Mytilus edulis: one gene and its partner. The protein of the gene in region 2 interacts with the protein of the main gene of each other region in a biochemical or structural test. Links are inferred from orthologs where the notes say so. Each region holds a gene or a part of one and is shown on either strand. Other genes may lie near its edges.

Region 1 (7,356 bases), on a different chromosome or scaffold from region 2:
TATACACATCAGTATACTAACGGCTGGTTTGTTGTTATATTATATTAATATTTGTATATAACAGTTACAAGTATAAATAAAATTTCCCTCAATTTGTATATTATTTTATTCTACTATTCTAATAATAGTAAAGGGCAAGTGCATAGTGGACACTCTTCTCACGGTAATATTTCGATTTTTCTAATAGATTGGATTTGAGCAGACATTCATATTTTCCCGCAAATCGTTCTTGAGATGTTCTTCCGCATGTGTTAAGGTTTATGTACCCTTCTGTAGCCATTTTTGTACGAATTTTTCAAACCTCAATTGTATCAAAACTAAAGATATAATAAATAATAGAGATAGTCCATTTAGTACATGTTCCAAGGGGAAACTTGATGCAAAGCATTATTTTTAACTGTTTCATTGCATCTGATAGAAAAAGAGGACTTTGTGGCAAATAAATCATGATTTTTATAGAAAATCCACAGCCTTTGAAATTAATTAAATGCAATGGAACACTAAAAAATAATGCTTTGCATCATGTTTCCCCTTGGAATAAGTACAAAATGGCCTATCTCTATTATTCATAATATCTGTAGTTTTGATGCAATTGAAGTTTGAAAAGTTCGTACAGAAATGGCTACAGAAGGGTACATAAACCTTAACACAATGATTTGTTATTGATACATATATATAATATATATATTTATCATATACTTAGACTAAATAACATATGATTTTTACTGTATGATAATAGCATGAAATTAACGTAAATTTCATATTTTTCGAATTGGTGCTGAGCGGGCTGATATGAAAAGTTTATCACATGCTTCGAACGTTATCACATGCCTTTCCGTAACGTTATCGCATGGCATTCCGGTAATACTCGGCAAATTCCGGAAAATACACCTCAATGCTACGTTTTCAGTGAAAAACATCACAAAGTAGTGTACAAAACAATTATTTGGATAGTGGAAAGTATATTGTGTAAAAAAACCAAAATAAATGCATTTTTAAAACTTTCAAACATAATTTAGAAAGCAACTTTTATACAATTTGACTTTTCCAAACAGTGTTCATTATGTAGATTGTTAAATTGATTTTTTTTGTCGATTCGTCCATATTAAAATGTTTTTCTTCTCTTTTGATGCATATGATAGAAATAAAATCGAATGTACTAAATTTGGGGTCCGACGTTCGTGAACGTTCACTCTTTGAACTTCTATTTGGGAACCACATGCAAGGATCTGTATTCAATATATGAATCTGTTATTTTTCTCTATTGTTGAAGCATATGATAAAAAGATCATAATAAATAACATGTCATTTTTCATATCGCATGTATTATCAGCCCTCGGTCAATATCAGCCCTCGAGCCATTCGGCTCTGGGGCTGATATTGAACCTAGGGCTGATAATACATGCGATATGAAAAATGCTATGTAATAATCTGATAATATTTCTAATCATATCATTTATCTATGTTTTTAAAAATTATATTCATGAATATTTATTGATGAAATTGATATTATATAAGAAACAATAAGGAATGTTATTTTGCAATCGGGTATCGGTCAAAAACGAAAGTCACGATGGGCACGTGAGAAATGTCTGTGCCGGCAGCATTACATTGAAATGCCCTCACGGTCATCTGATGTAAAAACGAGAAGCGTGTAACACTTATGAACCAACCACATCAACTAACGGCAATCACTGAACATCAGGTTTCTGACTTAGGACAGATGCAAACACATGCAGCGGGTTTACACGTTTTAATTAGTACATTCCTTCACCCTTACCTGAAACAATAGTGTAACATTACATCATAGAAAGACACCCAATAACATATCAATTGAAAGTATTCTTACCATGGTTATCCCTGAGTTTTAAAATGAAAATGTTTGGCCTGTCTGAAATACTGTCGCCCCTTTTAAGCAACAATTCACGTAAATCATTGGCTCCATTAACAACTACCACCCAAGATGACCCAATTGAAAGGCTGAAAATATCACCATATTCTTTTCGAAGTCTACGAAAAGCTTTCACAATATTTCCACCTGAAAGTTGATGTACGTTTCCAATTAGTGGTAGTGGTATTGGTCCAGGGGGGAAATCGGCTGGCCTCCGCGATCTCATCCAAAGCCAGCATATTAGCCCGACAGTTATTCCAATTAAAACTTCAGTAATCGAAACATTTAACAAATACGCCATCACTTTTCTAATCTTTATGTTACCTTCAAAATGTTGACATACATAATCTAACCTTAAAATCGGAAAATTTATCTTTTCTATAATATACTCGATAGCATGGCTAGCTTAGTTATTATATATCATCGACATGTATAATGCAATTCAAGGTTTATGTCGTGCTTGAATCATGATAATTTTTCCTCTAATAGATAGTTAATTTGTTTGATGCATTCCTATGCATAATATGATTTACTAGAAATTAAGGTGGTATGGGAGTCTAAAATAAAAATGATAGAATTTGTTCATACTTTGCCAAAACGTTGTATCTATTGATACATGTTGAAAAATATAATAAAAATGATAGGTCACCGCGCATTTTCTCAAGCTACAGGACGGGACAAAATGACACATTTTGTATGGATTATACAGGAAAAAACACCATTTTGTGATTAGAAACTAAACAAAATGATAGAATTGTTAAATACTTCAGGAAAAGATAGCTTTCAGACACTGCTTTGAGAATATCAAAAGAAAAGATAGGGTCACCGTACGTTTTTTCCGGCTAAAATACAAAATAGGAAAATTCCATACAGAATCCTTCAGAAAATGCACTTTTTAAGAGTTACCTCCCCTTAAAATGCCAATTTAAAAATAAATAAATAAAAACAACCAAAAATAATTAACATTTGCAAAAATATCAATATTTAGAAGTTATATTCTTATAAATTGGTACTTTTAAATGAAAATGTACATTAAACATCTGCATTCCTGCATCAAATTTTGCTAACTTGATGGAAAATCTGGACCTTTGATTCTCTGTTTTTTACAATCCAAGATGGAGGAAGACACCCATACCACCTTAAGGTCACCCACAAAATTCTTAAGAAACACAATGTTACATCTACGTAAAGGGTCATTACCTTTATCGGTTCACTTGAGAGAAAAAACTGAGACGAAGATATTTAGACATTTGTCTATTGAAAAAAAATATATGTAAGGCGGAAATTTATTAAAAAATAGTCTGTGTCTACAAGGAGCTTCTAAAATATTTCAAAACCGCCATAATTCGAATTCAGGGTATCTATAAATCATTGCATGAGGACCTCCTGAAATAGTTCAGGACCTACATAATTTGATTTACGGATATTCTGAAGTATTTCAGGAACCAAACAATCTCGTTTTCAGCATATCCTTGAATATTACATGGCCTCCAAAATTAAATGGTCAAAAATGCATTGCTTCAAGAGGTCCTTCCTTTAATATTTAAGGATTTTTTAGGATGTCCTGTTATATCATATGATTATAGATCTCAACTTAAATACTATCATCCAAAAAACCTATGGTCCTCCTGAAATTAAGCAATGTTGATCAATTATTTATAGAGGTCGTACAATATTTCAGGATATCCTTAATTCGAATAATGCAGTCCTGGAATATTTTTAGAATATCCTTTACAGAAATTACGGAGGTCCTTGCAGTGGCGGATCCAGAGGGGGGGTTCCGGGGGTCCGCACCCCCCCTTTATTTTGGCCGATCAATGCATTTGAATCGGGACATATGTTTGCACCCCCCCTGCACCCCCCCCTTTGCCCTGGGCTAGCACCCCCCCTTTCGAAAATTCCTGCATCCGCCACTGCCTTGTTATTTCAGAAGGTGTTCAGTCCTAAATATTTCAGACTGAGTTGTTCAAGTTTTATGAAACCCGACTGAATTCGAATTATGCAGATTCTGGAATATAAATTTCGTAATAAAGGAGGTCCTGGAATGTTATAGGAGCTAATTGAAAACAATCATTGTAATTTTCAGTAAATTTGCGCCTCTTAGAATTTTACCTAACAGTAAGGGATAACTGAGAACTGTAATTCGGCTGGTGACCTGCAGCAATTTTGTTTGAGCTTGAAATCTGTCAGTTCATTCGATAATGGTTATTTAATCTATAATCAGCGTACTAACTTATGTAACTGTCTAGAACTTCATTGTCAGATGATCAGGAAGGAAAGGAATGCGTCACTAAGTTAGTGGTTTTTTTTGGCAAATTTAAAACCCGTATTTTAAGCGTATCGATTCCGTTACTGTTTCCGGTGTTATTTCAACACATGTTTCTGATTTCTCTCCCCTGCTATTTTCACTTTCTAAACTTAGGTCTTAGCTCTTTCGTAATATTTCACAATAATTCACACAGAAAAGTATTTGGTAGGTACTTTAAAGTGAAAAAAACCCCTTTATTTTGGTTTGTCACATTGACAAACAGTTGGATGAGCCTTTCAGCGAAAAGGTATTGATAAAAAAACAAATCATTATAGTCTATTTTTAAGTATTACGCTTTTTTTAATCTTTAAAATTTCTGATTTACTATGCTGTATCTAGTTAAATCTTGTTCAATCTAGCAAAAACCTGAAATTACAGTTGTGCAATCGAAGCTAATTTAAAAGACATACTTAGCTAATAACATCACAAAACTCAAAAGCAACAGATATATAAGTGGTAAGATACAATATTCAAAGAGTTCAATATAATTATTTAAATTTCTGACCATTTAAAATGATTTTACAGACATGATTCATGAATGTTTTCACTACAATATAAATTTCATATTGCGTCAAAGATTAGAGGTAACAAAGCTACTTTTGCCAAATGCATGGTTATGATCAGAGACTAGTAAGACCACAATTAGAATATGCAGCATCTGTCTGGGATCCTGCAACAAAAGAACCAATCTACAAAATAGAACAGATACAAAGAAGAGCTGCAAGATACGTGACAAATAAGTACAAACCAACTGCAAGTGTCACAGAAATTATAGACCACCTAAAATGGAAACCACTGCAACAACTAAGAAAGGAAACCAAACTAGTGATGTTCTATAAAAAAGAGAATAATATGGTAGCAATAGAGAAAGAAGGACGACTCACACCACCAGTAAGAAAAGGGAGAAATATACATCCTAAGGCATACCAAGTACCGCACTCACGTATTGATGCACACAAGACATCATACTTACCACAGACTATAAGGGACTGGAACGCCTTACCACCAGACATCCCACAGGCAGAGACACTAGGTGCCTTCAAGGCCCTAGTGTCAAACCTCTAGAGCCTTGGAGGCTCCTACTGTTTTTAGCCAGTGTTTAAAGTTTAATTCAAATTCACTGTATATAGTCAGTTCCACGGTTTTACTTCAACAATTTACTTACTTGGATGTCGTCTCCTGCAAACGGAACTCGTCCGAAACATATATAGCAGAATCGTCAGTTTGTTGAAGGAGGCTATTATCCGACAGAAACAGAAATATTACAATCTTGTTCTGTGTGCAGTTTGTAGCTGCAGAGCTGTAGCTCATACATGTACATGTAGGTCCTTATGTTATGTTTTTACTATTTAATTTGCGGACCATAATTTGCAATCTTTACCGTTCAATGCTTTCAAGCACTTTGATTTTTTTTTACTTCTTTAGATGCCAGAAAAAGAGTTATTTGGTGGTGCCTTTTCAGCATTTCTACCTGATGGAGCTAAAGATGTCAGGTAATAAGAATAAGACTATATGAACTTAGCTGAAAATTATATAAAAATTAAATTGTTAAAAGTGGCTTTATATGGAAGTTAAATTTTCGTGGGGGTTTTAATTTCGTGGATATATTCTTTCCACGAAATAAACGAAATTAAATCCTCCACGAAAAATTTCTGCTTTTACAGTATATGAATAAGAAATCTGTTCTTCTACTTAAAATATCAAAGAAGGTTTTAGCACATCACATTAGTCTCATAGACAGAAAACATCACTTACAATTTGATTATGGCATCAGAGAAAGGACCTATTGTTAAGGAAAAGAACCTCAACTAGCATTTGTTATGCATGTATATTGTATATATATCTAGATTGTTATAATTATCTCCCTTTGGAGAGTTGTGATTTGATTTCTCCTTTTATCATTTTAAATGAATGTTCAAACTAGTTTTATAATCCTCCTTTTAAATAACATTGTTTTTTGTCAAGTCTTCAACTTTAGTCGAGAAAGCGAGACATAGCAATCCTACATTCCGTTGGCAGTGGCGGCTTTCACAAATATTCACTCTGTGGTTAAAGTTTTTGAAATTTTAATAACTTTCTTAAACTATACTGGATTTTTACCAAACGTTGACAGAAGCTTTTTTATGATCATAAGATAGTATTCAGAAGTAAATTTTGTAAAAGTAAAATTCCATTTTTTCTGTATTTTACTTATAAATGGACTTAGATTTTCTGCCAGGAAACAACACATTCGCTCTGTGGTTAAAGTTTTTCAAATTTTAATGACTTTCTTAAACTATCCTGGGTTTGTACCAAACTTGGACAGAAGCTTGTTTATGATCAAAAACTAATATCCAGAAGGAAATTTTGTTTAAATTTTGTACCTGTGTATCTGTATTTTACTTATAAATGAATTAAGTTTTTCTTCCAGTTAACATTACATACAGTCTATAGTTACATACAGTCTGTAGTTAAGTTTTTAAAACATTTATTAGATTTATAAACTATCCTGGATTTTTACCAAACTTGGACAGAAGCTTCTTACAATCAAAAGATAGTATCAAGAGGAATATTTTTATTGATTTTTTCCTCTTTTTTGTTGAGCCTGCCACAAATGCAAAAGTAGGCGAGACACTGGGTTCCACAGAACCCTTACGAAATTTTATGCATATTAGACAACATTTATGTTCAATAATTTATTTTATTTCACCCTGATCCCCAAGTTTTTACAAAGTAGTGTAATTATCCCCCTTTGAAAATTTGTTTCTGCAACTTTAGTCAGATTCTACACACAATCGGGAATTATTTACACACAAATTCCACACATTCAGGAATTATTTCTCACATGCAGAAACAGACCAGAGTGTAATTATTTCCCTTCATTTATTTTTCAGTGACTTCAGACAGATTCCAGACAATCAAGAAGTATTCACGCATGCTGAAACAAACCAGAGTTTAATTATTTCCCTTTGAATATATTTGTTGGTTTTTTTTCAGTGACTTCAGACAAATTCCAGACAATCAAGAAGTATTCACACATGCTGAAACAAGCCAGAGTTTAATTATTTTCCTTTGTATATATTTGTTAGTTTTTTTCAGTATCTTCAGACAGATTCCAGACAATCAAGAAGTATTCACGCATGCTGAAACAAACCAGAGTTTAATTATTTTCCTTTGT
Region 2 (7,269 bases):
ACAATTTACACCACAACATTCTGAGGTTTTCCCCTCATCAAGTTATTGAATTGAGATTTCGAGACATGCAAGCTTTTAATTATGTCACAAATCAAGATGGTAAACCACCATTATCAGTTATCTTAACAAATTTCATTGAAGTATACACAATAGCAGTTTTATTTGGTATATACACTGATGATCATTTACAATGATATTGGAAGAACTAACAGACACACACAGACCAGAAAACATGATGCCTTCTTACTGTCATGGACTTAGGTATAAGAAATCATGCGCTATCAAATGGCATCAATATCAAACACTTTCATCACCATTAGATCTTTACCACAATTTCTTGCTCATATTTCTTTGCTTTATACACATTTATCAAATTATATATGAAATAACATTTTTCGAAAGATAGTAGAGCCCACAATTAGAATTCAAAATGGAAACAGGAAATGTGTAAACCAGACAACAACCCAACCAAAGAGCATAAAACTGCCGAAGGCCACCAATGGGTCTTCAACACAGCATAAAAATCTCACACATGGAGCTGGGCTTCAGCTGATCCTCAAACAATCATGTAAAATGTACAAATGTATACTAATTCAGGGAAATAATTGCTACACACTTTGTAATTAAGTTTGTATATTTGTAAAAAAAGTGTTTAATAACTTACTATCATCATTTTGTGGTGCCATTAAAATCATACTATGTTTTTTCTTCACATCTTCCACATTAGCTGATATTTTATCTATCATCCCCCGGATCTCCTCCACCTACAAATTTTAATATAAAATTTAATAAAAACAAAACAAAAAAAACAAAAAACTTGAGCTAAAATATTAAACAAAATAGACATACTGTGAATTATCCCTTCAATTCTTTGGTGTTACCAATCCAGTAAAATATCAACAGTAACTTGTAGGAACAAAATTTCAAAGGACATTTAATTCTCTGTCTCAAATGTTGTTTAACTTTTAAATTTGGTCCCATAAATTTTCTTATTTTACAGGACTAAAAACATTTATTCTAGTTTTGACAGAACCAGTATCCTATGAAAACTCAATATATTTTAAAATTGAGAAATTACAACAGCAATATGTTATCTGCAGGCTTAAAGAAGTCTCTTTTTTTTTATATATACCATATTGATATTACCATTAACAAAAAACTGCTGGAAGAAGTTAATTTAAGCAAATACATTCATAAATTGGTATTTTCATTAGGGGCAGTAACCCATATAAAGCATCAATAAATGATTTCAATATAAAAGTGTTTTGAAATTTTTAAGATGTTGTATATACATTTTTGTATATGTACGTCTGAACCAGTGACAACTCTACAACAGATTTATCCATCGGATCACCAGCAGTGATGGTGATACATGGCTGTGTACATTATGTATATACAACTCGTCTAAACATCAAGCCAACAATGTTAGATGTGTATATTGATCATACTTTTTTGCAGCTTTCAGTTTCTGATACAGTTAACGCCATTGTGAATCATGCCATTTCAAAGTGTTTAAGGAGCAGGTTCAGCACTTGGTAATTTTACATTATGTTTATAAAAATGTTGAAATTTTTGAGGTTTGTTTTTCTAAATACACCAACAGTCTGTGCAAAACTGTTTTAGGGTTTGTCTGACCAAAAGAGAAATTCAATTTTTCTTCTATATACATGTATATTCAACCAAAAAATCTTAAAAGTTCTGTGTGACCGAATGATTTTTTGTCTGACATTTTGTCGGTCAGATGGAGTTTGGGATACACTGCACCAGTGTGGCCACCTCAACATGCTTACTGTTTATGTTGCAATAAAATCATACTAGTCTGAGCAATAAATGCCAAAAAGAAATATTTTTACATAAATAAATGAAAGTTTATACCTGTTCAAAGAACATGTCCATGAAACCTCCAGTGTCAACATTGACAGCCACATCGTCTGCGTCATCATCATCACTCTGTGCCTAAAATAAGACAAACAACTACATTAACATTTTCATATAATTTGGTATGGTTTGAGTGTACATTTGTATTTATATTATATATAGTGATCAGCATCAGTCTGCACTTAAATCTTTCCATTTACCGACGACTTCTAGTTCGAAAACCAATATCCAACATTTTTCTTGTGTGTCATAAAAGCTTACTAGTCTGAATAAAACTTTACTAGTCTGGGGCATTAGACTTGTGGCTCAGGACCCAGACTGCGTAAACAAATTAATTTCTAATGTGAATCAAAGAAACAATTCATGTGGCTAATCTGCATGTACAATATATTTTCGTATCAATTTGGTACATCAACATTTATCCATTAATCAGCATTCTCCCCAGGCATGAATATATATATATGTGTTGAGGGTTTCCTTTAGTAACTATGTTTACTGACCCTAATATTGAGTGCCAACACAAAATTAAAATCAGTAAAGGAAACCCTTAACACATATATTTGTATTTTTTTAACAAACATATGAAATAAAATGTATTTCTACTCAGGCAATTAAAGCTTGACATATATTTGTACATGCATGTACATGTACTACATTGTATTGTATTGTACAGAAAACTGTCTATTGTTGTAGATCCTAAAATGCCATCAATAAGTTTTTATATATTTGTGTTTACAGTCTTCACGATGAACTGTAAAATCTACAGGCCCCTAGCTTATTTTTTGAAAATTTTTAGTTAGATTCTGTTGGCCGGTAAATATGATTTCTACAGGCCCAAGAGCAATTTTACAAGCCTGGGTTGCCACTCAGCGTGAAGACTGTATTTAGTGCTGATTTAGTTACATGTACCACACATCTCAATTTATTCAACTAACAATGTATTAACAGTACTAGTATGTGCAGGAAATATAAGTTTGTCAGTCATTTATCATGTTTGTCAGTAGAATAATTTTAATTTAATATTTGTATGTATGGATACATTTGTATTTAAAGTAATCTGTGCCAAATTAGTATTTGTATTTACCTACAATATTAAACACTTCTTACATTACCACCAAGAAGGCAAAAACTCCTAGATGGAATCAAGACAACTTGCCCCACTGCCAACATGGCCAAATCGCCCCATTTTTGTTTACTACTTCACCCCACTTTCTAAAACTATCAGCCCTTATGTTTACCAGCATGCCTCACTAAACTAATATATGGATTAAATCCTTTTAAATTTACTCCTTCCAACTCAACCCTTTTCAACATGATTTTATCAAAATTGGAAAATATGAGTAGACAAGTTGGTGAAAAAGTTCAGCTTCCTGTAGTAAGTTGCAAGCTCTATACAGGAAAATTCAGATACATTATGTACAATAATAATGGAGCGATATAAAAAAGAGCAGTTGAACAATGCAGTATTAAACTAATGCAGAGTTATGATCAGAATGTTTTCCACCAGTCAATACAGATAAGGGTGTCTTCTTCCAGATTATGAGTCGAAATCTGTAGTAAAGTGTAAATAATTTGACTCAGGCACTCTGGTGATTATATTAATAGGCCTACTTTTAGTCTATTAGTTTTATAGGCAGTGTGCAACATAAATTTCGTGTTCAGTTTACAGGAAGCTAAGTTTTTTTTTACATTCTGGTTAGGTTAAAAAAAAATTTAAGAATAGACCTATTAGGATTCACACCCCTAAGCAGTGGCGGATCCAGCCATTTTAAAAAGGGGGTGTTCCCAACCCAGGACAACAGAGGGGGGGGGGGGGTTCCAACTATTCCAACTATATGTCCCCATTCAAATGCATTGATCGGCCAAAAAAAGGGGGGTTCCAACCCCTGGATCCGCCACTGCTAACGCAAAAGAAGGCCATATACAATAATGCTGGAACAATAAACATGCTGGTAAATATATAATATATATTGCAGTACTTTACATGCATGTCTGTCACAGTGTCGGATTCCCCATTTTTCTTTGTCCATTATTGCCAAATTTTACAATTAATACTGGTTTAATTTACATGCATGGTCAATGTCTGTTAAGCATTTAAAGCAATAACAACTAAAGGGGGAGGGGTGTAAGAAATCAGTGTTAACTCAGACTCAGTCCCAACTTGGCCGGCTAAATTCTTACCGCTTTTAAAGCCGCAAGACGATCTTTGGTCATTTTTCAACTTAAGTGTATACTATTTTCATCAACTCATTAAGATCACTGTAGTCTTTGTATGTATTGTTACATGTTACTTCCAAATTCCGATGATACATAAGAAAATCGATACAATTTTAATATCGTCTACCATCATAACACTAGCAAGTGCGCAAGTTCATGCGGGGTTTCCTTCTTCCGGCTGTGTCGCACTTAATGAATTTTTTTTAGCGGGTAAATAATATTTGTTGTTGAATTTAAATTTTCAAAGATATTTCAAAGGACAGAAATCTTCCATCGCATAAGCTCTATTTTTGGTAGTTTATATAATCTAAAGTGACGGCAAATACCCGCCAAAACCAGTTTAAACCCCCCTTCCGGTAAATCTCTTGCGCCATTTCTTGACTGAAGAGGGACATAGCAGGTAAAATCGTCTGTCATCCTATGAAAGAAATCATTTCAATTACACCTTTGATGAATTATTTGTATAGAAAACAGCATGTTTTAATGTTTTATCACTTCATTTTTTATTAATTCCATTTCAACTCGTTACCACAAACAATATACCTGATCGTCTTTGTCATTCTTGAACTTGTAAACGTAAAGTTGACTGGAAAGAGATATACAATTCCTGTTAGTATTGAAACTTAATATTCATCATACAAAACTAATTGCGTATGACAACCTGAAGTTAATAGGCGATCAGACTTCCGCAGTCACTTCTAGAATAAATAAATAAGGATGCGTCAAATTCATTTATTTGGCGGAATTTTATGGTGGTGTAATTTCAGAATATATGTAAATACATAGAATAAACTTACAATTACACACTGGATTTATTCCATAGAGTTGTAAGCAAACCGTTAATGACCAGCTTTCAATATTTTTTTTGTTATTGTTTTAGAGACACTTGTATAATTTTATATTAAGAAATGTCACCTCAAACAGGCCCCCTCAAACATTGTTAAGCGCAAACAAACAAGAAACTTAGATGTAATATGTACTATGTATTGATAGAGCTTGTATTGTCATTGTTGATTAATGCTGGGAACCTACAGATCGTAATGATTAAATTGTAATGCCACACAGTTCATCAGCACTTAAATATGTTGAATGTCAAGGTCCTCTAGATTCGAGATGACAGAATCTCCTTTCAGTTTAGTGTTTACAGCTTGATTGATCTAGACAGTGATATACAGATTTAGAGTCTTAGAATAGAAAATAGTTTTCTATAATGATGTATTTTTTTAATATAAACAACTCAGACTCATATCCGATTAAATCATATCTATTTTAAAATTATATCTTGGAAAGAACTGGTTCTAACTGACTTTCAAAGAAATATTGCACAACGCACATACATACATACATGTACAGTATACATATACATGCAACAATATAGATAGTAAAATAACTTGCTGGTCATCTTAGGTGTTCATAAAAGTTGTGGTGAAAACTGACTTTGTTAAAGTAAGTGAATTCTTAAAACTGTTATATTGATAGTCATCCAAGTTTATCAAACTAATGTGCTACTACCATCTCTGGATTAAATATTGTTATGCAGGCCTGTGTTAATCTAAGTAAACTGCATTATTCATGACTTGGTGTAAATTTTAGGTCTAAGATTTTTTTATTAAAAGCAGGCCAGAGTATTTAAAAGCACATGAGGCAGATTTTACAGTATTGTGTTCTGTCTCCTACTTTCATGTTGCTAATGTGACGGAGACAAAAATGAGTAACGTTAGCGACATTTGGACATGTCACATGAGCAACAACATCTTTAAAAGTTAAATTCTAATGCAACAACGTTTGTAACGTTCATTTTCATTGGATAACGTCACTTTCTTACATGGCATCAATTGACAATTGATGCTATGGGACGTACGCGCAAGCGCAGACGACATATGACAGATTTTAAATACATGTTTTAACGTTGTTTTCTGTCAGTTTCATTAGAATGGAGATAACAATATTGTATTTTAAGCTCCGACGGCATCAATTTGGGATTTGATGGTCGCAAATACCCGTTTACTGTCTCCGCTAACGCGTCGCCAGTAAACTTAATTTGCGACCATCAAATCCCCAATTGATGCCGTCGGAGCTTAAAATACAATACAGTTATCTCCTAAATGTATGCACACAGTGATGTTTAATATATGCCTGGAGTAATAAAATTGTACAGTCTGGTTTAGAATTTCTAAATATACAGAATGTCATTTGCAGGTGTACTTTATATCAAATGAATACACAAGAAACCAAAAAATTAGTAACGTTAGCAACATTTGGACATGTCACATGAGCAACAACATCTTTAAAAGTTAAAATGTATGCACACAGTGATGTTTAAAATATGCCTGGAGTAATAAAATTGTACAGTCTGGTTTAGAATTTCTAAATATACAGAATGTCATTTGCAGGTGTACTTTATATCAAATGAATACACAAGAAACCAATTCGTAATAGTAACATTAGCAACATCTACTATCAAGACATTATGTTTTGTTGCGAACGTCTTTTTGATGGACGGAATACATTTAAGGTCCTCTTGTAAAGATATTACATACAACTTACCTTCTTTGCTTCCCCATCATGTGAAGGAACTGACTCCGAATCTATTTCTGCAAAGGGCGATATCGTAACTCCTATACAGGAGAGTTACAGATATAAATATATGTTGCTCACGTGACACTGATTTGGACGGAAACCTCGAACAGTAACGTTCGCAAAAAATAAAACAGCCAATGATATTGATTCCTCAAGTCCTTTGACCCCCTTACGTCATCCAAATTTAATATGATTGCTATTTTCAATTATTTATAAAACCCGGGATAAAAATAACTACAATGGGCTGTCTGAGAACTAACAAGAAAATTGCGATCGTGACATACCACAATGGACGGAAAAGACGTGACGTTAGCAACAATATTATTAAATTACCTTTTTTAGCCTTTACCAATAAAAATCTGCCTTAAAGTTATGATTAAAACACAAAAGAAGACTTTTTATTAAAATATAAGTCCATGTTATTAGGCTCCACTTATAAATAATACTTCAAAATTCCACTCCAAATAAGCTGGATGTCAGTAAAGTAGGTCATGATGTCTATTCCATGTCCAATATTTTGAAATTGAAAACCCTCTAATTCTAACATAAAACACAAACACAGAGTAATTTTTATTTTTATTTACTCAGAAAGAC

What was found.
Region 1: the proteins of GTP-binding nuclear protein Ran (region 2) and ran guanine nucleotide release factor-like form a complex in vitro, tested with the Homo sapiens proteins (2 studies listed by BioGRID). The link is inferred for Mytilus edulis from reciprocal best matches to the Homo sapiens genes RAN and RANGRF.

The regions. Positions count from the first base shown.
Region 1 is NC_092356.1:49,374,338-49,381,693, reverse strand, and holds the start of ran guanine nucleotide release factor-like, read left to right. Parts: upstream 1-4,254; 5' UTR 4,255-4,364; exon of another isoform or gene 4,365-4,446; intron 4,447-4,488; exon of another isoform or gene 4,489-4,655; intron 4,656-4,805; coding exon of another isoform or gene 4,806-5,264; intron 5,265-5,624; coding exon 5,625-5,692; intron 5,693-7,356. Other genes in the region: cytochrome P450 2E1-like, read right to left, coding at 1,850-2,192; uncharacterized protein, read left to right, coding at 4,806-5,264. UniProt on the Homo sapiens protein: May regulate the intracellular trafficking of RAN. Promotes guanine nucleotide release from RAN and inhibits binding of new GTP by preventing the binding of the RAN guanine nucleotide exchange factor RCC1.
Region 2 is NC_092349.1:64,093,758-64,101,026, reverse strand, and holds the start of GTP-binding nuclear protein Ran, read left to right. Parts: upstream 1-4,226; 5' UTR 4,227-4,305; intron 4,306-4,397; exon of another isoform or gene 4,398-4,704; intron 4,705-5,208; exon of another isoform or gene 5,209-5,541; intron 5,542-7,269. Other genes in the region: syntaxin-like, read right to left, coding at 665-764, 1,876-1,956, 4,060-4,092. UniProt on the Homo sapiens protein: GTPase involved in nucleocytoplasmic transport, participating both to the import and the export from the nucleus of proteins and RNAs. Switches between a cytoplasmic GDP- and a nuclear GTP-bound state by nucleotide exchange and GTP hydrolysis.